3 linked regions of the Stegostoma tigrinum genome follow. The protein of the gene in region 1 purifies or fractionates together with the protein of each later gene. This does not show direct contact. Links are inferred from orthologs where the notes say so. Each region holds a gene or a part of one and is shown on either strand. Other genes may lie near its edges. The genes, in order: prpf40a, ncbp3 and RNA-binding protein 25.

What was found.
Region 2: the proteins of prpf40a (region 1) and ncbp3 purify together in Homo sapiens (affinity purification with mass spectrometry; 3 studies listed by BioGRID and IntAct, counting the BioPlex papers as one, with this or other methods). This does not show direct contact. The link is inferred for Stegostoma tigrinum from reciprocal best matches to the Homo sapiens genes PRPF40A and NCBP3.
Region 3: the proteins of prpf40a (region 1) and RNA-binding protein 25 purify together in Homo sapiens (affinity purification with mass spectrometry; 5 studies listed by BioGRID and IntAct, with this or other methods). This does not show direct contact. The link is inferred for Stegostoma tigrinum from reciprocal best matches to the Homo sapiens genes PRPF40A and RBM25.

The regions. Positions count from the first base shown.
Region 1 is NC_081360.1:54,267,295-54,277,860, reverse strand, and holds the start of prpf40a (pre-mRNA-processing factor 40 homolog A), read left to right. Parts: upstream 1-5,589; 5' UTR 5,590-5,691; coding exon 5,692-5,694; intron 5,695-10,566. Other genes in the region: arl6ip6 (ADP-ribosylation factor-like protein 6-interacting protein 6), read right to left, coding at 4,341-4,473, 4,567-4,620, 4,721-5,027.
Region 2 is NC_081380.1:46,786,936-46,797,651, reverse strand, and holds the start of ncbp3 (nuclear cap-binding protein subunit 3), read right to left. Parts: upstream 4,763-10,716; 5' UTR 4,710-4,762; coding exon 4,542-4,709; intron 1-4,541. UniProt on the Homo sapiens protein: Associates with NCBP1/CBP80 to form an alternative cap-binding complex (CBC) which plays a key role in mRNA export. NCBP3 serves as adapter protein linking the capped RNAs (m7GpppG-capped RNA) to NCBP1/CBP80.
Region 3 is NC_081363.1:88,980,429-88,990,785, forward strand, and holds the start of RNA-binding protein 25, read left to right. Parts: upstream 1-5,773; 5' UTR 5,774-5,869; exon of another isoform or gene 5,870-5,871; intron 5,872-10,357. Other genes in the region: zfyve1 (zinc finger FYVE domain-containing protein 1), read right to left, coding at 5,303-5,773. UniProt on the Homo sapiens protein: RNA-binding protein that acts as a regulator of alternative pre-mRNA splicing. Involved in apoptotic cell death through the regulation of the apoptotic factor BCL2L1 isoform expression.

The sequences.
Region 1 (10,566 bases):
CAGATGGACTGGTTAAATGGTTATATATGATGTAAACCGTAGTTCTAAAGGAGTTAGTAGTGATTATAAAAGCAATGGTGTGGATCTCAAGGAATCACTGCCGTCAGAGAAGGTCCCACAGGAGTGAAACACAGCTAATGTAACACCTTTACGTAAGGGTGTGCGTGTGGTGGAAGAGACAGACGACAGAAAACCATGGACCAGTTAGCCTGACCTTGGTCATCAGAAAGATTTGACAGTCCATTACTAATGATGAGATTACACAGTACTTGGAAGTGCATTGTAAAATAGGGCTGAGTCAGCATAGCTTCAAAGGGAGGTCATGCTTGACAAATCTGTTACAATTCTTTGGAGCAGAGGTTGATGGGTGATCTTCTACAGGTTTATAAGATCATGAGGGGCATGGATAGGGTGAATTGCAGAAGTTTTTTCTTGGGGGTCGGGGGGGGTGGAGGGAGTTCAAAACTAGTAGGCATAGGTTTAAGATGAAGAGAAAAAAATTTAGAAGAAACCTGAGGGGCAACTTTTCACGCACAGGGTGGCGCAAGCATGGAATGAGCTGCCGGGGTGGTGGTGGAGGCAGGTACATATACAAAGTTTAAAAGGCATCCTAATGGTATATGAATAGATTTCGGTTTCGAGATATGGGGCAAATGGGACTAGATCAGTTTAGAATATCTGTTTGGCACAGATTGGACCAAAGGGTTTCTTTTGATGCTGAAAACCTGAGATAACCAGCACGTTAGATGAAAGAAACCACTAAATACGATCTATTTGGATTTCCAGAGGGCCTTTGACAAGGTGCAACACAGGAAGCTGCTAAATAAGCTACGAGCCAATGGTGTTAAGGCAAGATACTGGCAGGAGGTGGAGAGAAGAGGTCTTCTCAGGATGACAGCCAGCAACTAATGGTATTCCAGTGGTACCACAACTATTCACGTTATGCATTCTTGATCTGGATGAAGGAACTGGGGCCATTGTTGCTAAGTTTGCTGATGGCACAAAGCTAGGTGGAGGAGCAGGGAGCCTGAAGGAGTTGGACAGTCTAGGAGAGTGGGCAAAGTGACAGATGGAATACATTGTGGGAAAGTGTCACTTTGGTAGGAATAGCAGAGCAGACCGTTTTGCAAACAGGAAAGGTTTTTGAAATCTGAAGCACAAAGGGACTTGGGAATTTTATTCAGGATTCTCAAAACTAAGAGACAGTAGGAACTGCAGATGATGGAGAATCTAAGATAACAAGGTGCAGAGCTGGATGAACACAACTGAGCATCAGAGGAGCAGGAAAGCTGACATTTCAGTCCCAGACCCTTCTTCAGAAAATCTTCTTCAGAAATAGGCCCAAAATGTCAGCTTTCCTGCTCTGCTGATGCTGCACGGCCTGCTGTGTTCATCCAGCTCTGCACCTTGTTATCTCAAAACTAACATGCAGGTTCAGTTGGCAGTTAGAAGACAAATGCTATGTTGACCTTCATTTCAAAAGGGTTAAGAATAGAATAGCAAAAACATGCTGCTCAGGCTGTTTTGGAATATTTAGCAGTTTGGACCCCACATCTAAGGGGTGGATGAGCTGGCATTACAAATGATCCAGAGATCCCAGGGTGGTTGAGGACTTTGGGTCTGTAATCAATGGAGTTTAAAAAGCTAAGAGTAGGATCTGATTGAAACTTGCAGAATAATGAGGGCTCTGGATAGAGTGGGCATGGAGAAGATGGTTCTACTACTAGGAGAGACTAGTACTACAACTAGAGATTAGATGATAACCTCAGAATGAAGGGACTAAAAGGAGAAGGAATTTCTTCAACCAGAGGGTGGTTAATGTGGAAGTCATTGCCAGAGAGGGCCATGGAGGCCAAGTCATTGAGTGTCTAAGACAGATAGATAGGTTCTTGATTAGCAAGGGCATGAAAGATTAAGAAAGGAAGGCAAGAGAATGGTGTTGAGAAACATATCAAACATGATTGAACGGTGGAACAGACTGTATGGTCCAAATGGCCTAATTCTGTTCCTACATCTTATGGCCTTGAAGAGGCATAGCAAACCAATGCAGAAGAGATTTACTTATACAACAGATTTGCAAAGCTTTTCATTGGAAAATAAAGTTGGAGGAGATCTGATCGAGGCAAAACAGATATTTTGATCAGGATTATCTAATTTAATTGATTGACAAGTTAAGATCATCATAGAGTCTCTACGGTGTGGAAATAGGCTGTTCGGCCCAAAGAGTCCACACCAATCTTCTGATAGGCATCACATACAGACCCATTCCCCACCCAATATTTCTCATGGCTAACACATCTAACCTTCATATCCCTGGCCACTGTGGGGCAATTTAGCATGGTCAATCCACCTAACTTGTGCATTTTTGGATTATGGGAGGAAACCAGAGAACCGAGAAGAAAAAAATCAACACAGGAGAGAATGTGCAAACTCCACTCAGTTGCCCGAGGCTGGAATCGAACCCGGGTCCCTGACAGAAATATTAAAGAACACCAAAATAACAAACTTGGGCCAGGACAGGTGAGGGTAATAGTTTGTCTTTTTTAAAAAATACAAGCAAAGGCAAGTGGATATTTGTCTGTAGAATGCCCTTTCATACAAGATCCTGGAAGCACAACCTACCAGTGCTATTTAGGTCATATTTCCGATGAAAATGAGAGTAAGTTTGTCTTTCCAGGTGAAGCTTGTTTTTGGCTCAAGTGCAGGGCAGTGTGTGCCCTAGACACACAAAACAGTAACTTCACTTGTTATTCAACCATTTTAATTTTGGAGCTGCACACATGAACTGGAGCAAAGCAATTCTTATGAGATTTCTGGCAACAGCAAGTGGAAACCAAAAAAAAAAAAATGTCTGTGCTGTCTAAACTGCAGATTTGTAAAAAAATTCTGAGATGCCCCTGACATTTCAGGATTTAAGAAATTATTTCACTCGTGTAATATTGCTCTCTCCATTGGTATCCACCACATCTCTACTTAAATTAATGCTCTGAACCTATGACATGTTCTGCATATTACTACTGCATTGTATTCATTCATTTTAAACTGTAGTGAGGTTGATTCCTTTGCTTTAGCATCACGATCATTATTTTGTTTTAAAACAGAGCTGGTACCATCCTTACTTTATTTAAAAAACATAATTGGATGTACCCCATGCCAGAAATTGAGTAATCAAGATGAACATAAGTTTAAAAAGTTTAAATATTAACTAAATCAGATACACATTCAGCATATTAATTTTCTCTCAGAAAGCACTCATCACATTTTCTGATCTGTTCAAGTAATAGATTCAAATATATATGTAGATAGGAGGAAGAGCCATATTGGACTGAAACATTCGCTTTTTCTTTTCACAGATGCTCCCACACCCACTGGGTTTCTCCAAGGCATTTTTATTTCAAGTTTCCAACATCTGCAGCATTTTGGTTTTATTTGAGGAGCAAATTATTTTTTCCAGAGTTACCAATCAGGATACTAGCACTTGCAAATCAAATTAATATTTGACAGATTTCTTGCATCAATCATGGATCCTCATGTAGATAAGCACTGACATGGTTTACCCACAGTGCCACATTTCAAACATCCAACATTGTGAACTGCACTTCAGAAAAAAAGACTTAAAAATATTAAATATTACAAGTTATTGCAACAAACAGAAGCAAGCTTAGCTACAGAAATAAAAGGAATCAAAGGAAGTCATTCAGGAAATCCAAGATAGTTGGTCCCAGACAACTGTTCAAAGACAGGAGGAGGAGGGGGAGGAGGGGGAGGACGGGGAGGACAATAAAGTTTGGCATGTACAGCTATCCTTGGGGTCAGAATAAGTCAAGAACACAAAGATTTGTACACATAGACAAGAACTTTCAAGTCAACATTTTGGGGGAAAGTAGCCAATTGCATGCAATAAGGGTGATGTCTCAATTTGAGAGAGGATTCAACTTTGCAAATGAAAGTCCATGGGTAACTTGCAAGTAGGGGATTCAGCCCGGAAATGGTGAATTGAGGAGTGTGAAGTAAGTTGGGAATGGAACAAGACAAGGCCGAGCGTAGCCGTCTAAGACACAGCAATATATAGCCTTGATATAAACTGAGACAATGAAAAGCCGAGTTCAGGATCAAACATGATATCAACCTAGTTCAGTAAACACACGTGTACAGGAGACAAACAAACACTTAGGTCAGAGAGGGTGGGAAAACTGCAAAATTACCAGGGTTTTCAGATTACCAAGTACGTTCTGACTCTATTTATCCTCAACTGTCTCATGTGCATATTATTTACATCTGGGACATTTTACCCTTAAGAAAATATAAAGCTCCATTTGATATCAGAAACCAGAATTTACCTAAATCGAGCAGGTGACAAGGGTGTCGGTGGAAACATTCCGGGTTCGAATGAATCAAAATACGTCAATGTCCATGAGAAACTGCAACATGAGAAACCAGCCGTCAAAGCCAAAATCAACGCACTCCAAAGGCCTGAAAAAAAGAAAGTTGTTAAAAAGTGACAAGAAAAAGGGGGAGGGGCTAGTACATTTAAACCAAAGTGCCAACTTCAAAAGGATACGTTACCTAAAATACCGGTTTTAACACCATCCTCACTGTTTTCTCTATCCCAGCGCAAATCTGCAATCGTAATTCAGGTTATTTTAAACCAAAGTTCAAAGTTCAATGCTTAACAAAGTTTTAAAGCTTCCTCAAGAAATCAACTGATGAACATCAGTACCTTTGAGGATTAAGTACATAACCGCTAGAAGAAAGGCAATGAACGATATCACGATGATACAACACAGCATTGAGCACAGCCGGGCCGGCCACTTCTTACTCCGGCAGTCACTATAGGCAGTCGGCACCAGTGCCCGGTTTGGCCTCGTCCTGTGACTCGGTAGGACCACGGCCTCCTTCGCGGAATCTGTCTGTGAACGAACGCCAGGCGAATCGACGTCCGATTCACAGACTATCAGCTCCCCACCGTCTGGCCACAGGCCTTCGGGCAGAGCGGACATCCCGCTCCGCTTCAAGTACCGCGGCATCGAGCAGTAACTACTACCGCCGAAAACTACCAGTACAGAGCCACGGCTCCGTCTCCCACAGAAAGAGAACCACCACCTGAAACCTGCTTCCCGCCTCTCTCTCCAACTCTCTGTCGAACCAACCGAAAGCGTGAAAAGAGCCCACCCCCGGCCGCCTGCTTTATCCAATCAAAAGAAGAGTGTGGGGAGGGCGGGACTGGCGTTCCGCTTTGCGGCACATGATTGGTGATAATGCCGACACCGGGTGAAGGGCGGGACGAACGTCCTTTCCTCGTAGTCTACAGGTGAAAAGTGCTGTCACTCAAAGCGAGGGGCGTGGAACATATTTCCAGCACTTGATTGGTTACTTGTCCATCATTCTGCGGGAAGAGGCGGGGTGAACTGTTACATTGTCTGGCGAACAGCGCTGTCACTCGGAACGAAGGGGCGGGTCTGGATTATAGTCGTCACTTCGTTGGTTGATAACACGGTGAAGCAGCTCGAGAGGCGGGGTTAGACAGTTCTCTGCGTCTGATAGGTGAATAGCGCTGTCAATCAGTAGTGCGCGTCGGGGACGCAGATCCTGTCACCTTTGACCTTTGCCCCATTGCAGGGCTGAGCCAGTCGAATCGTGCGCCGCTGTTACTGCGGGTCGTGAGGGCCGCGCTAGAGCGGAGCCGAGAACATGGTGAGTGGGGGAACTGCAATGAACAGAGTCGCCCCTTTACTGGAGCCGAGTCCGCGATGAGGGAGAGGTTCGCCTCATCCGAGCCCTGCTCCATGAGAGGCCCGAGTGGCAGCTGCTGCCCCCGCCGGCGACCGGGCTTTCTGTCCGTGACTGGGCCGCACAGCGACCTCTGCAAGATGGGCGCGTGTTGTGAGAGGCGGCTGGATGATGGCCTGATGGTTAGCGGGCGGGGCGTTTTGCAGGCCGCGGGGGAGCCTCACCGATCGCTCGCTGTGTCCATTCCTCTTGGCGGAAAGGGGTAGCGCGGCGCTTCCGAGTTTAAAAAAACATCAAAGCGGTTCCGTGTAATTATGAATGAATGGACGAATCGGCTGGGAGGGTGAAAATCGCAGTTGGTTTACGTTGATCAGGGTTACATTTTTGTGCGGAAATTCAAAATCTGTTCCCAGCCGTTCGTCGTGCAATAAATGAAAATACACAGTTTAACAACATGGCGTACCCGGCCCTTCCCTCAAAATGAGTAAAAAGCCAGGTGATATTAGAATAATGAAAAAGGAAACTCTACTGGTCTGTTCTATCCCGATTGCTCAATGGTAAATTCACATTAAATATATTGTAAAAGTAATTTGTTCTGATTTGTTGAAAGTGCAGAAATAAACCTACTGTCAAGATGAAATGAATGAAAAGTCGAATATGGTTTTATTGGATTTGCTGATGCAAAATAATTTTCAGGCATACTTCATCTTATATTCTGTTGTACTGAACAAACATGATTGGGGCATACATTTGCATAAAACATAATATTGTACATAAATGTGCAGGTAGATACATTACATAGGCCTGAAAAATGAATGTTTATGATTATCTGTTGCCAGTCCACTTACTTTGCCTGAGCATAGACATCAACTTTTTCAGCTGCCTGGACTCAGCACTTTGGAATTATCTCCACAGGTCTTTGCTTTTTCACCTTTTCAGTGCCTTGAAGACTTCATAGAATCCCTGCAGTGTGGAAGCAGACCATGTGCTCCTGAGATGCTGCTTGGCCTGCTGTGTTCATCCAGCCTCACATTTTATTATCCTTCTCAGACTCAACCCTTTACCCCATCCCTGTAAGGCGAGGTGATGGCCTAGTGGTATTATCACTGGACTGTTAATCCAGAAACCCAGATAATGTTCTGGAGACCTGGGTTCAAATCCCACCATGGCAAATGGTGGAATTTGAATTCAATAATATCTGGAATTAAGAGTCTAATGATGACCATGAATCTATTTTCACTTGTTGGAAAAAGCCATCTGGTTCACCGATGTCCTTTTGGGAAGGAAACTTGCATCCTTACCAGGTCTGTCCCTACATGTGTCTCCAGACTCTCAGCAGTTTAGTTGACACTTAACTGCCCTCTGTGCAATTTTAGATGGGCAATTAATGCTGCCTGGTCAGAGATGCCCCCATCCCTTGTATGAACTTTTTAAAAAAAGATGCATTTCCAATGGCTAATCCATCGCAGTGTTGAAGCAGACCCCCATTTGGCCCACCAAGTCCACACTAACCTGCTGAAGAACATCCCACTCAGACCCACCCCTTTACCCCATCCCTGTACATCCTTGGCCGCTGTGGGTAATTTAGCATGGCCGATCCACCTAACCTGCAAATCTTTGGACTTGGGAGAAAATCGGAGCATTCGGGGCAACCGATACAGACACACAAAGAATGTGTGCAAACTCCACACACAGTTGTTGCCTGAGGGTGGAATTGGTCTCTGGTCTGTGAGGCAGTAGTGCTACCCACTGTGAATCACTTTGCCACTCTTGCTTTCAAAACCCAACTGTTTAATCTCTTGTCCTCATATCTTCCTCTGGCTTGATGTTCATTTTTATCTGAGCCTGCTGTGTGTTCTTAAGATTGCTTGTAATGTCCCACGTGCTACATAAAGGCAAGATGCCATAATGTTCATACCTCAGCATATTGGATAGTTATATTAATCAGCCCAATGAAACAACCAGAACTGTTAAGATATTGTCCAATATTTTGCTGCAGTGCACGGTCAATATTTCTTTTAAGTATATAAATGCAAGGCAGGCTGTGCAAATATGAAGCTCCTGAGTGCATTTATGCACTGTCTGTTTCAAGGGTACACAGAGCAGGAAGGCCATTTAGTGAACCATCCAATCAGAATAGATCTGAAATTTTCTCATTGCAACATGCAGTTCATTCTTAAATAATAATATTGTTTTTGATTTCTTGGTACAGTGGTGGAGATGATTCAACATGTTATAACAGGAAGTTATCCACATTAATGAATGACCTAAATTAATGCTTTGGGAACCCATTAGCTAGTTTGTAATTACTCAGTGACTTCTTCGTAGTAACTGTCAAAGCCCCAAAAATCTTCTGATTCTCTGCATTCGTTATTGGACACATCAAATGAATGTAAACACTTCAGTGGAAATGTTTGAAGAACAGCAATGTCGTGGCCAGCATTCATTTCTTCAACAACATCACTACAAATCTGATTGCTGTAATTTTACTGTTAATTTGACCTTGCTATGGGAAAAATGGCAGCCATATTTTTCTATATTAAAACGTGATTACATTTCTTGTTATTAATCGGCTATAAAGCACTTTGGGATGTCTTGAAGAGCAGACGGTAGCACTGTTAGCCTCAGATTTGTGCCTGCATTTCAGCACTTGCTGCATATCCCATTATAGCCTTATTAAATAGAAATCCATATCCAGTGCTCAGCTCTAATTGTTATAACAGCCAAAAATCTTTGAGGAGAGTTTCAAATTTTGTCGTCTTTGTGTAAAACCTGTCTAACGTAGCCTAAAATAGCCAAATGCCCCTGCTGCTTGGGATGGAGAATTCCAAGGATTCATAATCCTCTGGTACAGGATAAAAAATAATCCTCATCTCTGTCTTATGGGAATGAACTTACTTAGAAATCCTGACCTCCAGCTATATATTGCTCAAGAGGGGAAAACATCTTTTCAAAATCTACCCTTCAGTATAGAGTCCCTTTAGAATCTTAAATGTTTTAACGAAATCACTTATCCAGATCGCCAGCAGTTATATGCCCAAAGTAAGGACATGGGTCCTCTTGTCCATCAATCAGAAAACGTTAGGCAAGCCCTATAAGTAATTCGAAAGGCAAATGGAATATTAATGCTTCTTGCGAGGGAGTTGTGTGAAAGCAGGGAAGTCTTAATACAACAGTGCTGGTCTATGGTGAGTCCAAACTTGGAGAGCAGCAATAGTTTTGATTTCTTGCATTGGGTGTAGATATTTTCTAAACAACCTGTTTAGGGATGTTGTTACACACTTGGCGACCAGGTGAGACTTGAACCTGGGCCTCCTGGCTTAGAGATAAGGGCACTACATCTCTGCCATAAGATCCCTCTTGAAGGAGTATGTACCGACAGTGGAGGCAGTTCAGAAGTGACTTGCTAAGTTGATTTCTCGTATTGGGGCTTCCTTTATAACGAAAGACTGACCGATAACTTACTTGCCTTGCATTCCAGCCTCCTCCAGAAGGCCCATTCTGTATTAATACTTGCAATTACAGTATTTGGATTCTTAAATTGCTGCTCCTCCACAGTCCCTAGTTTATCAACTTGCAGAAAATATTCAGACTTGTTTTTCTTGGATCCACAGTTACCTTGCAATAGGTAACAATGCGTAACATTTTCATCGTTTTACCAGCTGTTTGACCACTGACCTGGCTTGGTTCTTCTATTGTTGGTTTCTCCTGACAGGCCTTTTTGCTGTCTCTCCCAACTTGTGCGGTTTGGAAACATTTAGATAAGTACAAATAATTTTATAACACTTTGGAAATTCAGTAATGTTGTTTGTTTTTTTTTAGCCTGTCCAGAGTTGAATATCAGTTGTATAAATATTTTACGACTTCTCCCCATTTATTTGCGTGAGGACATGTACCCAGGCTTTCTCTTGAATGTTTGGAGTTTGTAGTCCTTGTCTTCGTTTTGATAATCACTGCAATGCTTTTTAACTTTCACTATCTTCAACTGTTATTTTTGACACTGGTTCAGCTCACTGTCAGTATTTAACCTTTGGTCAGCTTGGGTCTAGTACTTCCGTTATGATTTGGCTTTAATCAGTGTTAATACATGCAATGTTTGATTTTCTTGGGTGTTTTCTTTTCAGGATATCTTCACTTATTCTTACCTATATAATTAATTTGTTCACTTTGTTTAATTTTCTCTTAATGATGCCCCAACCTTTCCTGAAGTTTTGGAGAATTTAGTTAGGTCTTGTGGGTTCCATGTCTTTTTATTTCTTGAGTGAAGTCCCAACAAAATCAGTAATCTTCAGTTTTCTCCCCCTATGTATTTGGATTTGCATTTCAGATCTGGTTATCCTCTCAAGATCCTAGTACATTGGTGGATGCTGCCAATTCCCAGTATATGGGCCTTTTTCACTGGACCCAATTTATAGTAGTTTTAGTAAATCTGGAATGTTAATTTTGGAGTCTCTGCTGAGTGGATGAGACAGATGAACTGGGGTTGAGGATTATGCATACTTTGCAATTGTTACCGAAGCAAGTTGGTAGGCTTCCAAGCACACAAGTCTTGACAAGACAATTTCTCATTGTTTTGTAATCCCAATGTTTGAAGCACTTGCCAAGCAGAGTAAGGAAATGACTTATTTTGGTTAATTGAACTGTGTAATTAGAAAATGATCAATTTTAGAATAATGAGATAACAAGGTGTAGAGCTGGATGAACATAGCATGTCAAGCAGGAAAGCTGACGTTTTGGTCCTAAGCCCTTCTGAAGAAGGATCTAGCCCCAAAACGTCAGAATTCCTGCTGCCCTGATGCTGCTTGACCTGCTTTGTTCATTCAGCTCTGCACCTTG
Region 2 (10,716 bases), on another chromosome or scaffold:
TTCATCTGTATGGGTTTGTATATGTGTTTGTTGACTGCATTACGGGTGGAGAACCATGCCTCTAGGAATTCCCGTGTGCGCCTGTGTTTGGCCTGGGCTACTATGGTTACTTTGTCCCAGTTAAACTGATGGCCTTCACTGTCTGAATGTACAGATATTAAGGAGAATTCATCGTACCGTTTTGCTGCCAGCTGATGTTTGTGTATTCTGATGGCTAGTTTCCTTCCTGTCTGTCCGATGTAATGTCCGTGGCAGTTGTTGCATGGTATTTTGTAAACCACATTCATTCTGCATGTTTGGGAATGGGGTCTTTAATCCTTCTAAGTGTTTATGGTAGAGTAGCTGTGGGCTCGTGGGCCATCATGATTCCTAGTGGTCTCAGGAGTTTTGTTGTCAGTTCCAACATGTTCCTGATGTAGGGCTGTGTGGCCAGTGTGTTATGGCATACTGTGTCCTCCTGTTGTTGTCTGTTTAATAGGAATCTGTGGATGAAGTTGCAGGGATATCTATTTAAAACGAGGATACTGTGTAAGTGTTTTTCATCATCCTGGTGCAGTTCTGGAGCGTTGCAGTGTGTCCAGGCCCGATTATATAGTATCCTAATGCAGCTTTGTTTGTGGATGCTGGGGTGGTTGCTGTGGAAGTTGAGGATTTGATCCGTATGGGTCGCTTTTCTTTATACGGAGGGTTGGAATGCCCATCTGTCAGGCGTTCCATCTTAACATCCAGAAATTGTTGGTTTCTTCTCCCCTTGTGAATTTAATCCCTGCAAATACGCCGTTGATGAGGTGGTGGGTCTCTTCTAATTTGTTGCATTTAATAACGACAAATGTGCCGTCTACGTACTGGATCCACAGTTTCGGTTGAATGTGGGGGAGGGTGGTGTGTTCTAGTCTTTGTATGACTGCCGCTGTGAGAGTCCCAAGATGGGTGACCCCATTGGCATATTGTCAATCTGTTTGTATATGTGACCATTAAAGATGAGGTGTGTGGTGAGGCAGAGGTCTGGTAATTTAAGGGCGTTGTCCTTGCTGATGGAGCTGCTGGTCTGTGTAGCGGTTTCCTCTAGTAGCATGGCCACTGTTTCTTTGGCTAGTGGGATGTCAATTGATGTAAATAAAGCTGTGACGACAAAGGTTACCAATAATCTCGTTGTCACTGATTTTTATGTTCTCGAGGGTATCAAAGAAATTTTGGGTTGAGTGGATAGAATGAGGTGATCTATCAACCAGGTGTTTCAGCCTCTGTTGTAGGTCCTCAGCCAGTTTGTGTGAAGGTGTGCCTGGTAGGGAGACAGTGGGCCTGAGGGGAATGTCTGCTTTATGTACTTTGGGCAGTCCATAGAAGCCAAATGTAGACATGCACAGGAATTCCTAGACGCATGGTTCTCTGCCCACACTTCAATCAACAAACAGAATTGGACCCAAATACAAACCCATGCAGATCCAAACCGGAAAAACAACACTTCTCACCATAATGGACCGGGCAGTATAAATTCCGAGTGGAGTAGAACAACATCGCTTCTTCAGAGGCTTCACTGATGATGACACCTAGCACAGTGACAAAACATCTGAACAAAAGCTAGCCAGCTTGGCAAGCAAGTTAACAACCTCAAATCCTGCATTCCAGGCACAATCCTGGTAAATCTTTACTGAAATCTCTCTAGCTTAATAACATCCTTCCCATAACTGGGCACAACATTCCAGAAGAGGCCTCACCATTTTCCTGTACAACCTCATCATGACATCCTAACTCCGAGACTCAAAGATCTGAGCAAAGGTAAGCATTCTAAATCCCTTAACAACCCCGTCTACAAAAAGAACATGAAGGAGCGCTAGTGGATATAAAAATATGAAGGTTCAAAAATTGGCTTTATACTGGCTTATCTTTCATTTCTTTACATGTTTGTTAGGGAAACTCTGGGAGTAAACTGGAATCAGGGTATGGATACAAAGGAGAAGGCAATGAGCATTAAAAGCATTAACACACAAGGACATACTAGCCCTGGAGCGTGTCCAGCGGAGATTCACATGGATGATCCCTGGAATGGTAGGTTTAACGAATGATGAACGGCTAAGGATCCTGGGATTGTACTCATTAGAGTTTAGAAGGTTGAGGGGAGATCTAATAGAAACTTACAAGATAATGTATGGCTTAGAAGGGGTGGACGCTAGGAAGTTGTTTCCGTAGGTGGGGAGACTAGGACCCATGGGCACAGCCTTAAAATTAGAGGGGGTAAATTTAAAACTGAAATGAGACGACATTTCTTCAGCCAGAGAGTGGTGGCCTTGTGGAATTCATTGCCACAGAGTGCAGTGGAGGCCGGAACATTGGATGCCTTCAAGGCAGAGATCGACAAATTCTTGATCTCAAAAGGAATCAAGGGCTGCAGGGAGAGTGCAGGGAAGTGGTGTTGAAATGGCCATCAGCCATGATTTAAATGGCGGAGTGGACCTGATGGGCCGAATGGCTTTACTTCCACTTCTATGTCTTATGGTCTTAAGTTGCTGGATGTAATAAAACCAAGGTGTCTTGTAACTTGGCAGATGAGTACAGAGTTTTAAACTATTCCCAGTAATCAGCAATAACTTACATCTACCTTCAGTTACTGCTCCAAAACATCACAAGGAACTTCATATGAGCATTACAAAATACAAGTATGACACTGAGCCACAAAGAGATAGCAGGTCAGAACTGTGGTCAAAGGCAGTTTTAACAGGCATCTTAAAGAGGAACAGAATGAAGCTGAGGGATTTAAGGAGAAAGTTACGGAGCTCAGAGCGCAGGTAGCTGAAGGTACAGCAGCCAATGAGGGAGGGATTGAACTCAGGACGTTCCCAGTCGAGGCCAAAACTGCAGGAGCAGAGATCTTGGAGCTGTGTGGTGCTGAGGGAAATCGTACAGATGATGAGAGGCAAAGCCACGGATGAGTTCACAAAGGAGGATGAAAATTTTGAAAACGCACTGCTGCTCGAACACGAGCCAATGCAGGTCAGACAGTGTGGGATACAAGGGGTCAGTGCTTGGTGGGAGTTAATCAACCTTGATTTCTGAGTTGTCAACAGATCAAAACATGATTTGAAGTCCCTCTGATGGAGAGATCATCAGCTTGGGAACCAACACCATAAAGTCACCAGCAGCACCCAGACAACATTACACTTACCAAACTAAACACTTTTCAACAATCTCCACCCAAAACAGGAGCTCAGTTTGGCATATTTTAAAGTAGCCAATGCCTCAGCTCATGCCCAGATAGCCACCACAGCCCCAGCCAATCAGCATTACAAAACCAGAAGATAAAAACATGACAACAGAACAGAGTAAAATTAGCTATTTCCACAATTTCATTGCGAGGGTGAAGCTGCTGTTGCAACGCACGATACGCAGAGTGTCCACAAATCCACATCCCAAACTGCCAGTGCGAAAATCCCCAGAAAAAGTGCTCATCCGGAGCGAGGCCACTGAGAATTTCACCGGAAAAGTTATTATTTGTCTCACTCAGTCAAAACAGAGGCTTCGGAGGGGACAGCGCCCACTCCCTCAGCACTGACCCTCCGACAGTGCCCACTCCCTCAGCACTGACCCTCCGACAGTGCCCACTCCCTCAGCACTGACCGTCCGACAGTGCCCACTCCCTCAGCACTGACCCTCCGACAGTGCCCACTCCCTCAGCACTGACCCTCCGACAGTGCCCACTCCCTCAGCACTGACCCTCCGACAGTGCCCACTCCCTCAGCACTGACCCCCCGACAGTGCCCACTCCCTCAGCACTGACCCTCCGACAGTGAGGCGCTCCCTCAGCACTGACCCTCCGACAGTGCCCACTCCCTCAGCACTGACCCTCCGACAGTGCCCACTCCCTCAGCACTGACCCTCCGACAGTGCCCGCTCCCTCAGCACTGACCCTCCGACAGTGCCCGCTCCCTCAGCACTGACCCTCCGACAGTGCCCGCTCCCTCAGCACTGACCCTCCGACAGTGCCCACTCCCTCAGCACTGACCCTCCGACAGTGCCCACTCCCTCAGCACTGACCCTCCGACAGTGCCCACTCCCTCAGCACTGACCCTCCGACAGTGCCCACTCCCTCAGCACTGACCCTCCGACAGTGCCCGCTCCCTCAGCACTGACCCTCCGACAGTGCCCACTCCCTCAGCACTGACCCTCCGACAGTGCCCGCTCCCTCAGCACTGACCCTCCGACAGTGCCCACTCCCTCAGCACTGACCCTCCGACAGTGCCCACTCCCTCAGCACTGACCCTCCGACAGTGCCCACTCCCTCAGCACTGACCCTCCGACAGTGCCCACTCCCTCAGCACTGACCCTCCAACAGTGCCCGCTCCCTCAGCACTGACCCTCCGACAGTGCCCGCTCCCTCAGCACTGACCCTCCGACAGTGCCCTCTCCCTCAGCACTGACCCTCCGACAGTGCCCGCTCCCTCAGCACTGACCCTGTCCTTCCCTCCTCACTCTAACCTCTCCGAGGCCTTTGTGATTCCCGCCCCCCCCCCAAACCCGGGCCCGAGGCCTGGGCCTCTCCTCACCGGGATCAGGTCCTTGAGCGACCTCCGCACTGAGATGGTGTCCAGCCTCTCGGGCTCGATCTCCCCCTCCTCCACCTCCATGGGCTCGTCATCCCTCTCGGTGCTGGCGGCCCCCTCTGCCCCAGGCCCAGGCTCCAAACAGACCCGCAGGCCCCGCACCGCCGCCATGACAAACAAGGAGTCGCCGAGGGAAAGGCAAGAGGTGCCACCTGCCGCCACGGCCGGCGTACCATCCAATGCTGAGGAGTGCAACGCGCGGCAAGAGATTACTCAGCTCGCCGTAGTTTGCAGTGAGCGGATCGCAGCGCCTCCCTGCGGCCTGGAGAGTAACTGCCCCCTCCAGCTGGAATGTCAAATCAATCAAGTGCCACCCTTTGCCCCATGAGTTGGCACTGAGCCTGACCCAAGCTTCCATCAGGACAGTTTCCCAATCCAACACTCTCCAAACTTTCACTGCCCATGATTAGTGCCCTTTTCAAGCCATCCAAAACCTCAGCCACCTGGCATTATTCCTGAATTGTCTAGTGGGATGTGGGCATTGCTGGCTGGCCCCAGCATTTATTGCCCATCCCTAGTTGCCCGTTGAGATGGTGCTGGTGAGCTGCCTTTTTTAATGACTGCCGTCAATGTGCTGTGGGCTGACACAACACACAATGTTATTAGGGAGTGAATTCCAGGATTTTGACCCAACAACTGTGAAGAAACAGCGATATATATCCAAGACAAATGGTGAGTAGCTTGGAGGCGAGCTTTCAGACGGTAGTGTTCCCATGCATCTCCTACCCTTAAGCTTCTAGATTGGTCATGGTCATACATTTTGAAAGTCTTGTCGAAAGATCTATAAATGATGAGATTTTTCTCAAGATCATGAAGGTTTGCAATTGTGGGAAGGTATGGAATTGAGCTGGACAAGTTTCCTGAATATTGAACCCTGACAAAGAAGGACATTGGCTTCTGCTTGAGGACAGTGGAGCTGAATCAGTAATAAGGCTGGCCACAGAAGGTCAAGGGGGCACTCGGTGGTGGTCTATAAGATTGAGGGGTGTGAATAGAATGAATAGAAAGCAGATATAATGCAGCATGGAGCTAGAGGAACACAGCAGGCCAGGCAGCATCAGAAGAGCAGGAAAGTTGACATTTCGAGCCCCATTTGAAGGGTCCCAACCCAATAGACCAACTTTCTTAGATAACAAGGTGTGGAGCTGGATGAACACAGCAGGCCAAGCAGCATCTTAGGAGCAGGAAAGCTGACGTTTTGGGCATGGACCCTTCTACAGTTCCCATTATCTCAAGTCAACTTTCCTGCTCCTCTGATGCTGCCTGGCCTGCTGTGTTCCTCCAGCTCCACCTGTGTTTTCACTGACTCCAGCATCGGCAGTTTTTACTATCTCTGAATGAATAGAAAGTAGGGTTGAAAGGTCGACAATGAGGATGCATAATTATAAAGTTACACACAAGGGGCTTTGAGGTGATTTGAGGAAAACCTTTTCACCCAGAGGATGGTGCGGGACTGGAAAGCACTTTGGGAGGGTAGTTGAGGTGGAAGTTCAAACCTTTAAAAACTACATGAATGAGCAGTTGAAATATCATTGCATTCAAAGTTATAGGCCTAGTATAGGTTGTAGCAAATTTTTGATGGGCCAAAGAGCCTCTTCTGTACTGGATGATTCTATGAGGTAAAACCAAATTCTAGCAGAATGGTGTGAATCCTGTCAGGAGTATTCACAGACATCTTCAACCTCTCTACTGTGATCTGAAGTCCCAACCTGCTTTAAGAAGACTGCCATCATCTCAGTGCCAAAGAAAACTGGTGCAGCATGCCCCAATGACTCCTGGTTGGTGCTCTGACATTGGTAATTATGAAGCTGGACATAGCTTAAATTACCTCTAGCCTCCCCCATGTAATCTTGATCCCTTGTAGATGGCCTACTGGTGCAACTCTCCAAGGCAGACTGTGAATACTGGAACATTTGGACAAGGAGGGATACCCAGGACAAGCTTCTTATTGATTACAGCTCTGCCTTCCAACACCATAATTCCAAACAAACTCCTCTCCAAACTCCAGGTCCAAGGTGTCTGCTCTTCCCTCTGTAACTGGATTCTCAACTTGCTGACCAACGGACTGCAGTTAGTAAGCAGAGCTGACCATCCTCAAAACTGCTGCCCTGTAAGGGTGTGTACTCAGCCCCCTACTATACTGAGACACACACTTGTGTGGCCAGATTCCACACCAAATCCTTTTATAAGTTTGCCGATGACGCCACCATTATAGGTGGAATTGGGAACAGTGATGCAAAGAAGTACAAGCAGGAGGTAAAGTGTTTAATGGCGTGGTGTAAAGTCAAGACTCTGTACATCAGTGTCTGCAAAACAAAGGAGCTGGTCATTGACTTCAGGAAGCAGAGTGGAGGGCATGCCTCTGTTTGCATATGGTTGAAAGCATCAAGTTCCATCAGTGTGTCCTGGTCCATCCGTGTTGATGCTTTTTGGTGAAGAAAGCACAGCAAAGCCTGTACTTCCTGAGGAGGCTAGGGAAATTCACCACGTCTATAAAGACACCTTACCAGTTTGCGTTGCTGCACCACATTGAGCATCCTAAGTGGATGCAATCTGGTATGGCAACTCCTCTTCCCGAAACCACCAGGAACTACAGTCCACGGTGCAAACCAGCCTCCCATCCACGGACTCCATCAATACTTTTCACTGCCTCGGGAAGGCAACTGGCATAAACAAAGGTCATCTCACCCCGGTTATACCTCCTACCCTTTTCTGTCGGGCAGAAGACATAAAAGTTTGTACACGTGTACCAACAGATTGAAGAACAGCTCCTTCCCTGCTTTTATCAGATTTTTGAAGAAGACTTATGAAATATTGATATTGATCTCTCTCCGCACTTTCCCTGTGGCAGTAACACTATCCTGCACTCTTGTACGGCTACCCTGATGCCTGCAGAGCATACAAAACAATACTTTTCACTGTATCTCAGTACATGTGATGATAACAAATCAATCAAAATGCTGCCTGAGGATCTTTGGTGAATTTCTGCAGTACATCTTAGGGATGGTACACACTGCTGCTACTGAGTGTCGGTGGCGGGGGGAGTGGGTGTTTGTGGGTGTGAGGCCAATCAAGCGGTTGCTTTGTCCTGGAGGGTGCCAAGCTTCTTGAGTGTTTTTAGATTAGATTAGATTCCCTCCAGTGTGGAAACAGGCCCTTCGGCCCAACAAGTCCACACTGCCCCTTGAAGAGCGTCCCACCCAGACCCATCCCCTATAACCCACACACCCCTGAACACTACGGGCAATTTCCCATGGCCAATCCACCTAGCCTGCACATCTTTGGGCTGTTGGAGGAAACCGGAGCACCCGGAGGAAAACCACGCAGACACGGGGAGAATGTGCAAACTCCACACACAGACAGTCGCCTGATGCTGGAATCGAACCTGAGTCCCTGGCGTTGTGAGGCTGCAGTGCTAACCACTGAGCCACCGTGCCACCCTGTGTTGTTGGAGCTGCCCCAATCCAGGGAACGTGGGGAGTATTCCATCGCATTCCTGACTTCATCCTGTACAGGACTTCACCTTTAGCACAGACACAAAGCTGGGAGGCCTGGGATGGTTATCGGCTGCATCCCGAGAGACCTCCTTCAGCTCAGGGGCCCCTGGCACAGTAAAGGCTTGGATAGCTTCTGGTGCCAGGCTGAGGGCTTTAGAGATGTTTGGTCATCCAGCCGGGGTGGTCAGGGTCAGGATCAGGATACAGGCCAGACAGCCAAACAGCTGTCCAGGCTGTGTCCGATCGTGGCTGTCTGGACTGAGGGACTGGCATCGATAAAGGGAGATGTGTTGGATGGCTTATACTGCTGGCGCAGTGAGAGGTGGAGTCTTCGGTGCAGCGGGCATACAGCGTGAGTGGTGCCAGGGGCCAGACTCGGTTGACAGCAAGATTGAGTGAGTGTGAGGTGTCAGGGAGAAGGTAGAGGTGCTGACCCTGGTGGAGTAAGAAGGACATTCCTACAGCACAGGCCATACCCACGATGCCTGAGACTGCACTGACCCTGTGCAGGGGTAATGGCCTGTTATCGAGGCATGAGGCTTCAAACCTCCTGTCATGGGGTTTTGTTAGGAATTTTTGGGGTGTACTGGGGGAATGTTTCGGGTGTATTCGTGGAGTGTGTGGGATGTGTTCAGGGGAATGTTTGGGGTTTATTGTGGGAATGTTTGGGGTTTATTGTGGGAATGTTTGGGGTGTATTGGGGTGGTGTTTGGGGTGTATTTGGGGGAGTGTTTGGGGTGTAATTGGGGGAGTGTTTGGGGTGTATTTGGGGGAGTGTTTAAGGTTTATTCGAGAGTGTTTGGGTGTACTGGGGGGAGTGTGTGGGGTTTATTAGGGAGTGTTTGGGGTGTATTTGGGGGAGTGTTTAAGGTTTATTCGAGAGTGTTTGGGTGTACTGGGGGGAGTGTTTGGGGTTTATTTGGGAGTGGGGTGTATTGGGGGACTGTTTGGGGTGTATTGGGGGAGTGTTTGAGGTGTACTGGGGGAGTGTTTAGGGTATATTTGGGGGAGTGTTCAGGGTTTATTTGGGAGTGTTTGGGGTATATTTGGGGGAGTGTTTAAGGTTTATTCGAGAGTGTTTGGTGTGTACTGGGGGGAGTGTTTGGGGTTTATTCGGGAGTGTTTGGGGTATATTTGGGGGAGTGTTTGGGGTTTATTTGGGATTGTTGGGGGTATATTTGGGGGAGTGTTTAAGGTTTATTCGAGGTGTTTGGGTGTACTGGGGGGACTGTTTGGGGTGTATTGGGGGAGTGTTTGGGGTGTACTGGAGGAGTGTTTAGGGTATATTTGGGGGATTGTTTAGGGTATATTTGGCAGTGTTCGGAGTGTATTTGGGGGAGTGCTTAGGGTTTATTTGGGAGTGGGGTGTATTGGGGGAGTGTTTGGGATGTATTGGGGAGTGTTTGGGGTGTATTTGGGGGAGTGTTTGGGGTGTATTGGGGAGTGTTTGGGGTGTATTTCAGGAGTGTTTGGGGTGTATTGGGGGAGTGTTTGGGGTGTATTTGGGGGAGTGTTTGGGGTGTATTGGGGAGCGTTTGGCGTGTATTTGGGGAGTGTTTGGGGTGTATTGGAGGAGGGTTTGGGGTGTATTTGGGGGAGTATTGGGGGTGTATTTGGGGGAGTGTTTGGAGTGTATTTGAGGGAGTGTTTTGGGTGTATTTGGGGGAGTGTTTAGGGTGTATTGGGGGAGTGTTTGGGGTGTATTTGGGGGAGTGTTTGGGGTGTATTGGAGGAGGGTTTGGGGTGTATTTGGGGGAGTATTGGGGGTGTATTTGGGGGAGTGTTTGGAGTGTATTTGAGGGAGTGTTTTGGGTGTATTTGGGGGAGTGTTTAGGGTGTATTGGGGGAGTGTTTGGGGTGTATTTGGGGGAGTGTTTGCGGTGTATTTGGGAGTGTTTGGGGTGTATTTGGGGGGGTGTTTGGGGTTTATTTGGGGGAGTGTTTGGGGTTTATTTGGGAGTGTTTGGGGTGTATTGGGGGAGTGTTTGGGGTGTATTGGGGGAGTGTTTGGGGTTTATTTGGGACTGTTTGGGGTGTATTTGGGGAGTGTTTGGGGTGTTTTTGGGGGAGTGTTTGGGGTGTATTGGGGAGTGTTTGGGTTGTATTGGGGGAGTGTTTGGGGTGTATTGGGGGAGTGTTTGGGGTGTATTGGGGGAGTGTTTGGGGATTATTTGGGACTGTTTGGGGTGTATTGGGGGAGTGTTTGGGGTGTATGTGGGGGAGTGTTTGGGGTGTATTGGGGAGTGTTTGGGGTGTATTTGGGGGAGTGTTTGGGGGAGTGTTTGTGGTGTATTGGGGAGTGTTTGGGGTGTATTTGGGGAGTGTTTGGGGTGTATTGGGGGAGTGTTTGGGGTGTATTGGGGGAGTGTTTGGGGTATATTGGGGTGTGTTTGGGGTGTATTGGGGGAGTGTTTGGGGTGTATTTGGGGGAGTGTTTGGAGTTTATTTGGGACTGTTTGGGGTGTATTGGGGGAGTGTTTGGAGTGTATTGGGGAGTGTTTGGGGTGTATTTGGGGAGTGTTTGGGGTGTATTGGGGAGTGTTTGGGGTGTATTTGGGGGGTGTTTGGGGTGTATTTGGGACTGTTTGGGGTGTATTGGAGCAGTTTTTCAGGGTGTTTCA
Region 3 (10,357 bases), on another chromosome or scaffold:
CAAGGTGCAAGATGCTGGAGAGACCGCATATGGAGAAGTGTTGACAATTTTGGTCCCCTTATTTAGAAAAAGGCAGTAATTTTATTACAGGCAGTTCAGAGAAAATTCATAAAGATTATCCCCGTTGTAGAGGGATTGTCTTATAAGCAAAGAACTTTGGGAACTTTATTAATTGAAATTCCTCTCCATTCTGGGTGATCACTCTGGTCTGGATTCTCTCATATTAAAGTCTCTGTCAATTATGGTGTAAACTGCATAAGTCAGAAAAACTTCCCATTAACAAAGCTGGCAAATCCACATCCACTGCACAAGCTTGTTCCTTCCTTTAAATTATTTCATTAGGAGTGGGCAGGATCAATATTTGTTGCTCATTCTGAACTGCCCTCAAGAGGATGGTGGTGAGCTCTCTAATGGTGCAGTCTGCAGCCCAAAGACCTATTGTTTTGGCTAAAAGGCCCACCCACTGACAAAAATCTAAAGCTAGTCTTAGACAAATGTGACACCTGGTCTAAACAGTCAAAACAATCCATAACAATCTGGTGGCCTCTGTTCTACATCTACATAATTGGGAAGTTTGAAATGAGGGGTTTTGGTTCTATTTCTTTTATAGGCTCAAAGATGCTTTAAACTGCACGTGTATCTGGTAAACCTCCTTGGTATCCTTGCAAAACTCTAAAATTAATACCTACAAGGAAAATAAAACAGCACAGTTGTAGCTCTGTGGTAATGCAATTGATGAATAATGGACTCTATTTGGATAATGCAAACTTTCTGCTGCACGGGTATAACATTTTCTATGGTGATTTTCTACAGTATGAGGTCACACAAGAATGCAACAATCACATAATAGGAGAACAACCATTGTCCCATTGAGGTTTGCCATGGTCTCATACAAGACCAAATAATAAGCTTTTGCCTTGCATAGTCAACTGTGCTACAAGAACATTGTAGGGCCCCATCACTCAGCTTATTGTTTTAAGGCACTGTTCACGAACTTTAGAGTTCCAGCCACTGTGATATCCCTGTCTCTCCATTTTAATGTTATTGACTGTCCTGAAAGCTAAGCTCAGCATTTGTCCTGGACATGTGCAAAACACTACATCATTCACAGATAACCACTGCCTTACCCCTGGATTAACATCATGTCAGCCATGAGCCCAATCCTCTACAAATCAAGGCAACAAAAAATGGTGGAAATCACAGCGGGTTCTGCAACATCCTGGTGAGAGAGCAGGCTAACGTTGCGAGTCTAGATGACTCTTCATCAGAGCTCTGATGAAGCCTATCCTCCTTGATATCGCAAGACGATATAGGTGGTTTATCCATGACAATTTGGAGTTTGCTCCAGATAACTGTGAGGTAATACATTTGGGGAGGACAAACAAGGCAAGGAAATACATCATAAATGGTAGCACCCTAGGAAGCAGTGAGGATCACTGAGGACTTGGTGTGCATCTACACTAGCCTTTAGGGTATCGAGGCAGGTGGATAAAGGGGTTAAGAAGGTATATGGGATACCTGTCTTTATTGGACAAGGAATAGAATTTAAAAGCAGGAAGGTTAATCGAATCATTAAAAATGTTGGATAGGGTAGTGTTGGTGTAGTTCTGGAATCCACATTATAGGAGTAATGCGATAACACAGGAGAATTACTCTCGAGCCTCAGAAATGTCTGGGTATCCGTTACATAGTGACATTGGACATACTAGGATTGTTTTCCATTGAGCAGTGGAAAGTAAGAGGAGACATGATTGAAATGAACAAAATTGTGCAGAACAGAAATAAGGCAGACAGGAAGAAACTTTTCCCTTTGATGAAGGAGTCAACGACCGCATAGATTTAAGGTTGGGGCAGAAAGTTTAGAGGAGACGTGAGGAAAATGTTTTTTTCCCACTCAGAGGGTGGTTGAATCTGGAACTCACTACCTGACAGGGTGGTAGAGGCAGAATCCCGGATAACATTGGGGCTCATTCTGGAGTAGGTGGGGCATTACAAATGGGATGGTCTACACCTGAACCAGAGGGGTACCAATATCCTGAGGGGAAAATTTGCTAATGTTTTTGGGAGGGTTTAACCTAATTCAGCAGGGGGATGGGAACCTGAATTGTAGCTCCGGTGAGAGTATTGAGGTCATGAATAAGGTTGCAAGGTCGCATGTGTGTACCAGCAGGCAGGATGGCGGTTTGAAGTGTGTCTACTTCAACGCCAGGAGCATCCGGAATAAGGGGGGTGAACTTGCAGCATGGGTTGGTACCTGGGATTGAGATGTTGTGGCCATTTTGGAGACACAGAAAAAGCAGGGATAGGAATGGTTGCTGCAGGTTCCAGAGTTGAGATGTTTCAGTAAGGTCAGGGAAGGTGGTAAGAGAGGGGGAGGTGTGGCACTGTTAGTCAAGGACAGTATTGCAGTGAGGTTTGATGAGGACTCGTCTGCCAAGGTAGTATGAGCTGAGGTTAGAAACAAGAAAGGAGGACCCTGTTGGGAGTTTTCTATAGGCCTCCGAAAAATTCCAGAGATGTAAAGGAAAGGATTGCAAAGATGATTCTGAATAGAAGATAAAGTAACAAGGTAGTTGTTATGCGGGGCTTTAACTTTCCAAATATTGACTGGAAGTGCTATAGTTCGAGTGCTTTAGACAGGTCAGTTTTTGTCCACTGTGTGCAGGAGGGTTTCCTGACAGTATGTAGATAGGCCAACAAGAGGTGAGGACATATTGGATTTGGTACTAGGTAATGAACCAAGCCACACTGGGTTTGGGAGTAGGTGAGCACTTTGGTGGAAGTGACCACAATTCGGTTACGTTTACTTTAGCGATGGAAAGGGACAGGTGTATACCGCAGGGCAAGAGTTATAGCAGGAGGAAAAGGCAATGACAAGGTGATTAGGCAAGATTTAGGTTGCATCGGATGGGGAAGTAATCTGCAGGGGCTGGGCACAATTGAAATGTGGAGCTTGTTCAAGGGGCAGCTCCTGCATGTGCTTGATAAGTATGTACCTGTCAGGCAGGAAGTGGTCGGGCGAGGGAACCGTGGTTTACAAAAGTTGAATCTCTTGTCAAGAGGAAGAAGGCGGCTCATGTAAAGTTGAGGCGTGAAGGGTCAGTTAGGGTGCTTGAGAGTTCAAGTTAGCCAGAAGGGTCTAGAGAGAGCTAATAAGAGGCTGGAGGGGAAATGAAAAGTCTTTGGCAGGTTTGATCAAGGAAAACCCTAAAGCTTTCTTCAGGGTATGTGAGGAATAAAAGAATGGTTACAGTAGGATTAGGACCAGTCAAGGACAGTTGTAGGAGCTTGTGCATGGAGTCCGAGGAATTAGGAGGCACTAAATGAATATTTTTCATCAGTATTCACACAGGAAAAAGACAATGTTGTTAAAGAGAATACTGAGGTACAGGCTATTAAACTAGACAGGATTGAGGTTCATAAGGAGGAGGTGTTAGCAATTCTGGAAAGTGTGAAAATAGATAAGTCCACTGGGCCAGATGGGATTTACCCTAGGATTCTCTGGGAAGCTACGGAGGAGATTGCAGAGCTTTTGGCTTTGATCTTTATGTTGGCATTGTCTACAGGGATAGTGCCAGAAGACTGGAGGATAGCAAATGTTGTCTCCTTGTTCGAGAAGGGAGTAGAGACAACCCTGGTAATTATAGACCAGCGAGCCTTACTTTGGTTGTGGGTAAAGTGTTGGAAAGGATTCTAATAGATAGGATTTATAATCATCCCCAAAGGAATAATTTGATTAGAGATAGTCAACACTGTTTTGTGAAGGGTAGGTCGTGTCTCACAAACCTTATTGAGTTCTTTGAATGGCTAAACAGGTAGATGAGGGTAAAACGGTTGATGTGGTATATATGGATTTCAGTAAAGCGTTTGATAAGGTTCCCCACATTAAGCTATTGCAGAAAATACGGAGGCTTAGGATTGAGGGTGATTTAGCGGTTTGGATCAGAAATTGGCTAGCTGTAAGAAGACAGAGGATGGTAGTTGATGGGAAATGTTCATCCTGGAGTTCAGTTGCTAGTGGTGTACACAGAATCTGTTTTGGGGCCACTGCTGTTTGTCATTTTTCTCAATGACCTGGAAGAGGGCGTAGAAGGATGGGTTAGTAAATTTGCGAATAACACACTTAGGTCGGTGGAGTTGTGGATAGTGCAGAAGAATGTTGCAGGTTACGGACAGACATAGTTAAGCCGCAGAGCTGGGCTGAGAGGTGGCAAATGGAGTTTCATGCGGAAAAGCATGCGGTGATTCACTGTGGATGGAGTAACAGGAAGACAGAGTACTGGGCTAATAGTAAGATTCTTGGCAGTGTGGATGAGCAGACAGATCTCAGTGTCCATGTGCAGAGATCCCTGAAAGTTGCCACCCAGGTTGATAGGGTTGTTAGGAAGGTGTATGGTGTGTTAGGCTTTAGTGGTAGAGGGATTAAGTTTCAGAGCCACGAGGTCATGTTGCAGCTGTACAAGGCTCTGGTGGGGCTGCACTGGGATTATTGCTTACCGTTCTGGTCGCCGCATTATAGGAAGGATGTGGAAGCATTGGAAAGGGAAGCAGAGGAGATTTATCAGGATGTTGTCTGGTATGGAGAGAAGGTCTAACGAGGAAAGGCTGAGGGACTTGAGGCTGTTTTCGTTAGAGAAAAGAAGGTGGAGGTTACTTCATAGACATACAAGATGATCAGAGGATTAGATAGGGTGGACAGTGAGAGGCTTTTTCTTCAGATGGTGATTGCTAGCACGAGGGGACATAGCTTGAAATTGAGGGGGGGATAGATATAGGACAGATGCCATAGGTAGGTTCTTTACTCAGAGGGTAGTAAGAGCGTGGAATGCCCTGCCTGCAATAGTAGCAGACTGGCCAACTTTCAGGGCAGTTAAGTGGTCATTGGATAAACATATGGATGATAATGGAATAGTGTAGGGCTTCAGATTGGTTTCACAGTTGGTGCAAAAATCAAGGGCCATAAGACCATAAGACATGGGAGTAGAAGTAAGGCCATTCGGCCCATTGAGTCCACTCCGAAGGACCTATACCACGCTGTAATGTTCTATGTTCTAACCTTTAAGTATTTAGACTGGCGTGGACATGATGGGCCAAAGGGGTCTTTTTCTGCACTGTTGATTTCTATTATCCTTTCCTTCCAAAAATAAGGGGGTCCTTCTCAGTAGTCTCACGGATGACTTCCCTGCCTTTATACTCCGCCTCCTTGCCAACCAAGGGCACTGAATTCTAGTTATTGCCTTATCCGAAATGTTCCCACTGCCCCCCGTGGCCGTTCCGCCCCGTTATTAAAGGCTTCCTTCACCTGGATCATTTCCTGCTCATCCACCAGGAGAAAGCTGCTGGCAGTTTGGCTCCTCAGTTTATCGAGTTCTCGGTGCTCTTTCTGGTCCTCCCCGAGTCCAGCCTCGACCTCTGGCTGCGGGTAGTTATTGACTGGATGCTTGCGGCGGTTCGAGTGGCCTCGGCGGTGGCACTCGGCGCACACGTTGACCTTGCAGGCCAGGCAGCGACAGCAGGCCCGACGCCGGCCACCGCTCGGTTTGTTGCCGTTGCACTGGTCACAGAACGGGAGGTGTCCGGGTTTCAGGCGGCTCCTTTCATGATCCCTGAGTCGGGGCTGGTTGTGCAGCTGTCGCTCACACACCGCACACTGTAGGCTGCCGCATTCATCACACTCGAAGGCCGCCTCCGAGGCGCTACACGCGTAACTCTCCTGACAACGGAGCAACTGATCAGGCCCGGCACTCAAACCCGAAGCCCCGGCACCGCTCATCGTCCTCCCTCTTTTTAACCAGGCACCGACACCCAAGCCGAGACAACGAAACAGGCCCCTGTCAATCGTCAGTCGGCCCGGGCCCGGCTCCTTTCGGTAGGTCACGTGCGTTCGGGTTCGGCTCTCTTCGGCGTCTTCACATGCGTTCGGGCTCGGCTTGATGCGGATTGAATGACCCAAGTGAGAAATTTGATGCAATTTAATAATCAATGTTGTTGTCCAAGGAGATGAATGTGATTGTTTGCAAAAAAAACCCTCTTGGTCCACACTAAACCACACGGCTGAACTTGCATAACCTGCAGATTTTCTACGTCTGAGGTGCATATCTAGAGACCTTTTCAATAAATGGAGGGTTTCTGCCTTTATGCAACTTTACAGGCCGTGAGCTCCAGACCCCTTACACGCTCTGGCGAAATAGAGTAGAGAGGACTTGAATATACTTTATCTCCCAGTCACTTTAAATCGACATCCCCTAGTCACTGCTTCCACAGGCAGAAGGGTGTGCTTGGACCAACTGAGGAGGGCAAAGAGATTCGCCAATTTGGAATGTGGAGCTGAGTGCTGTTTGGGCTAGTTGCCCAAGGACATTAATATCATTTGTTGTACATCTCGTTGAAAATTACCAAACCCATTGCAATTACTTACAGCACAAAGGCCTGATTCATTGTCATTGTTACCCATCACCATTACTTAATTTTTCTTAGATTTTTTTTTAAATTTGGTTTTGTCCTTTCTTACTACTGCCATGGGTGGTGCTGAAATTGCATGTCCTGAAACTTGTCACCAGGCTCTGGCACTGTGGCATAAAGCTGGGAAGTTCCATCATCTTTTCATCCATCATAGAGTCATACAGCATGGAAACAGACCCTTCAGTCCAGCCAGTCCATGCCGACCATACTCCGATGTAGCTGCTCAAGTGTCAGAATCATTGTGAGTCTTGACATTTCTTGGGTGAATGACTTATACCATTGTATAACTGGGAACTGCATGAGACTATTCAACTCAAGCTACTTCCCTGTATACCCATCACAAAGTCAGTGTTTAGGCTAAGACCCCCTTGTCAGTTCCTTAATCTCTGGACCAAGATTTTTATACTTATGCCTATTTCCCACCTATGCATTCTCCAATCTCTTGTTGTCATCTTTATATCAACTGTCACAAAACCGCCACGGTCAAGTACCTTTAAAAATAAAGTTGGGTTTCCACAGTGACCCATGTTGTCCTTCAGCCTCAGTTCAATTTCTGTTGGTACTTCCTGGTTCTCATAACATTGTCAGGATCTTATTGTGGCATTTAATTCTTGCATTCTCATTAATGGATATTTTCCCAAAAATGTTTGTGCATTCCTGTTGGACCCTCACATCTGTGACCATTTTTGAGTGTGTGAGGTCATCTTTGATCAATTGAGTCAGTGGGTTGAGGGGTGCCAGATGGAGTTTAATTTGAATAACTGCATTTTGGTAAAATAATCAAGGGCAGGACTTTGCAAATTAATGGTAGGAACTTGGGTAATGTTGGAGAACAGAGAGACCTTGGAGTTCAGGTGCATAATTCTTTGAAGTTTGTGTCACATGTAGACAGGTGATTAAGAAGGCATTTAGCGTGCTTGCCTTCATTGCTTGACCTTTGAGTACAGAATTTGGGATGTCGTATTGGGATGATACAGGACATCAGTGACATGTCTTCTGTAGTCCGGTGTGCGGTTCTGATGTTTCTGTTATAGGAAGGATTTTATTAAACTGGAGAGGGTTCATGAAAGATTTACCAGGATATTGCCAGGAATGGAGGGTTTGAGTTATAAAAATAGGCTCGGACTTTTTTAGCTGGACCATTGGTGATTTGAGGGGTGACTTTATGGAGGTTTGTAAAATCATGAGGGCCATATAAAAGGTGAATAGCAAGGGTCTTTTGACCAGATTGGGGAGGTCAAAATCGGGGCCATATTTTTAAGGAGACAAGGGAAAGATTTTAAAAGGACATGGGGGCCAAATATTTTACGCTGTGGTTCATGCGTGGAAGAAACTGCCAGAGGAAGTGATGGATAAAGGTACAGTTACAGCATTTAAAAAACATTTGGATAAGGACATGAATAGGAAATGTTTGGAAGGATATAGACAAAATGGAGGCCAGTGGGGCTGGTATTTTTTGGGAACATGGTGAATGTGGACTAGTGATAATGGGAACTGCAGATGCTGGAGAATCTAAGATAACAAAGTGTGGAGCTGGATGAACACAGCAGGCCAAGCAGCATCTTAGGAGTGCAAAAGCTGATGTTTCGGGCCTAAACGTCAGCTTTTGTGCTCCTGAGATGCTGCTTGGCCTGAATGTGGACTAGTTGGACCAAGAGCATGGACTATTTGGGGTGGCACAGTGGCTCAGTGGTTTGCATTGCTGCCTTACAGCACCAGGGACCCAGGTTCAATTCCAGCCTCAGGCGACTGTCTGTGCAGAATTTGCACATTCTCCCCATGTCTGCAGGGGTTTCCTCCAGGTGCTCTGGTTTCATCCCACAGTCCAAAGATGCACAGACTAGGTGGATTGGCCACGCTCAATTGCTGGTAGTGTTCAGGGTGTGTGGGTTATAGGGGGATGGGTCTGGGTGTGATGCTTCAAGGGGCAGTATGGACTTGTTGGGCCAAAGGACCTGTTTCCACACTGTAGGGAATGTAATCTAATGAAATCTAATTTAATCTAATTTCCATGTCTTATGTCTGTGACCTGTGTTTGTCTAGTCCAAATTGGGTACAGATGATCCAGGTATTGGAATCCCTATTGTTCTTGTAGCTTCTGATTCTAGAGTCACTTAGTGAATTCCCATCTCTCCACTCTTAAGTACTTTCTCTCTGGCATTTCAGCTGTTAGTACTTGTTAGGAATCTAGGTGATCCATGAACACTTCTGCTTCTGGCATTATGTGCCTTGTCTTCTGTAGGAAGATATCTGGTTTCTTCAGGTTGTTGAGCTTGCACAGGTCTTTCATGACCTCAGTGTTACTTTGCCCACAGAACTGACATAAGAGCAGATGGCACAGTGGTTCAGTGGTTAGCACTGCAGCCTCACAGCGCCAGGGACCCAGGTTCAATTCCAGCCTCGGGCAACTGTCTGTGCAGGGTTTGCAACAGAGTCTCCCTGTGTCTGCATGGGTTTTCTCCAGGTGCTCCGGTTTCCTCCCACAGTTCGAAGATGTTCAGGCTAGGTGCATTGGCCGTGCTAAATTGCCTGTAGTGTTCACGGGTGTGTGGGTTATAGGTGGATGGGTCTGGGTGGGATGCTCCAAGGGACGGTGTGGACTTGTTGGGCCAAAGGGCCTGTTTCCACACTGTAGGGAATCTAATCTTAAAAAAAGACCTGTCAAGTACTTTCCATTTCTGAATAACTGCAGCCAGGATCTGCACCTCACGTTTTGACGTGCCAAGCCCACCATTTTAGAGTATAAGAAGTTATCAGCTGTGTGTTGCAGGAGATGTAGGAACTGCTTAGTTGCATTCCAGATTGTGTAATCAAGTTTGCAAAAGGTGTTCTGTGATATTGCTGTTTGGATCAGGTGATAACACAGCCTGGGATTGATATGCATCTTCAAGATCTCAACTTTCTGCATCGGTTGGAGAGCAGCTGTTTGGCAGGTTGGAGACCAGGTTCTTCAGTTTCTCCTCCCATTCACCCTCTGCTGCACCTGCCCATGGATCAAAATGGGCACTTAGGTACCATTCTATCCCTCCAGGACTAATGTAAGAAATGATGGCTCCCTTTAATGTCTAATTTTCTTCACGACTATACAGAAAGGTATATAGGTGAAGTTAAAGCTGTTGGTCTTTGTGATGTTTGTTGTAAATACTGTGTTAATGTAAAAACACTGGACCATCACTGCAGCATGTACATCACTTAAAATGGCATTTATCATCTGCAAAGACCAAAGCAGAGCAGTTAATTCTCAGATTATTCAATGTCGTGGAAATGCCTGAGTCTACCTTTTCCAGTGTGCACACCAATAGATCGAATACACTGTTGAAAAGGATTGGAGAAAGAGAGTTGCCTTGTTTGGCTCCCTTCTCTCTATTTTTCTCAGGTTGGTCTTTGACTGGTTGCCTTCTACTACAGTTATATTAATTGTGTACAGATCTTCAGTCAGAAGTATAAAATTTCCAGGGAGGCTGGCTGGTGCAGAACCTTGATAAGCAATGTGTGACTGACAGAATTGAATGTCTGTGTGACATCAACAACAGCAACTGAAAGTTCCTTATGGTTTCGTTTGTGCTCTTAATGATGTTTTCAGTGTTGTGGCCTGGCATCACTGCTAGGAATCCCTTCTTCCAAGGGTTTACATATTTTGTCTCACTCAGTCTCTGCCATTATCTTCATTCATAAGTGGAGCAGCATAGGACCAATTGTGATGGGTTGCCAGTTGTTAATGCTTCTCACACAACTTGCCACTTCACTCTTTGGTGTTAGGAATGTATCACTATTTTTCGGGGAGTTTGAGATGGGGCTCAATTTTAGCCATTGGGTGAACTGACAGGGTAGTCGTGTTGTATTACCATTATGAATGCTCAGGGTGTTTTCCAATCTCATCCCATCTGGCCCTATC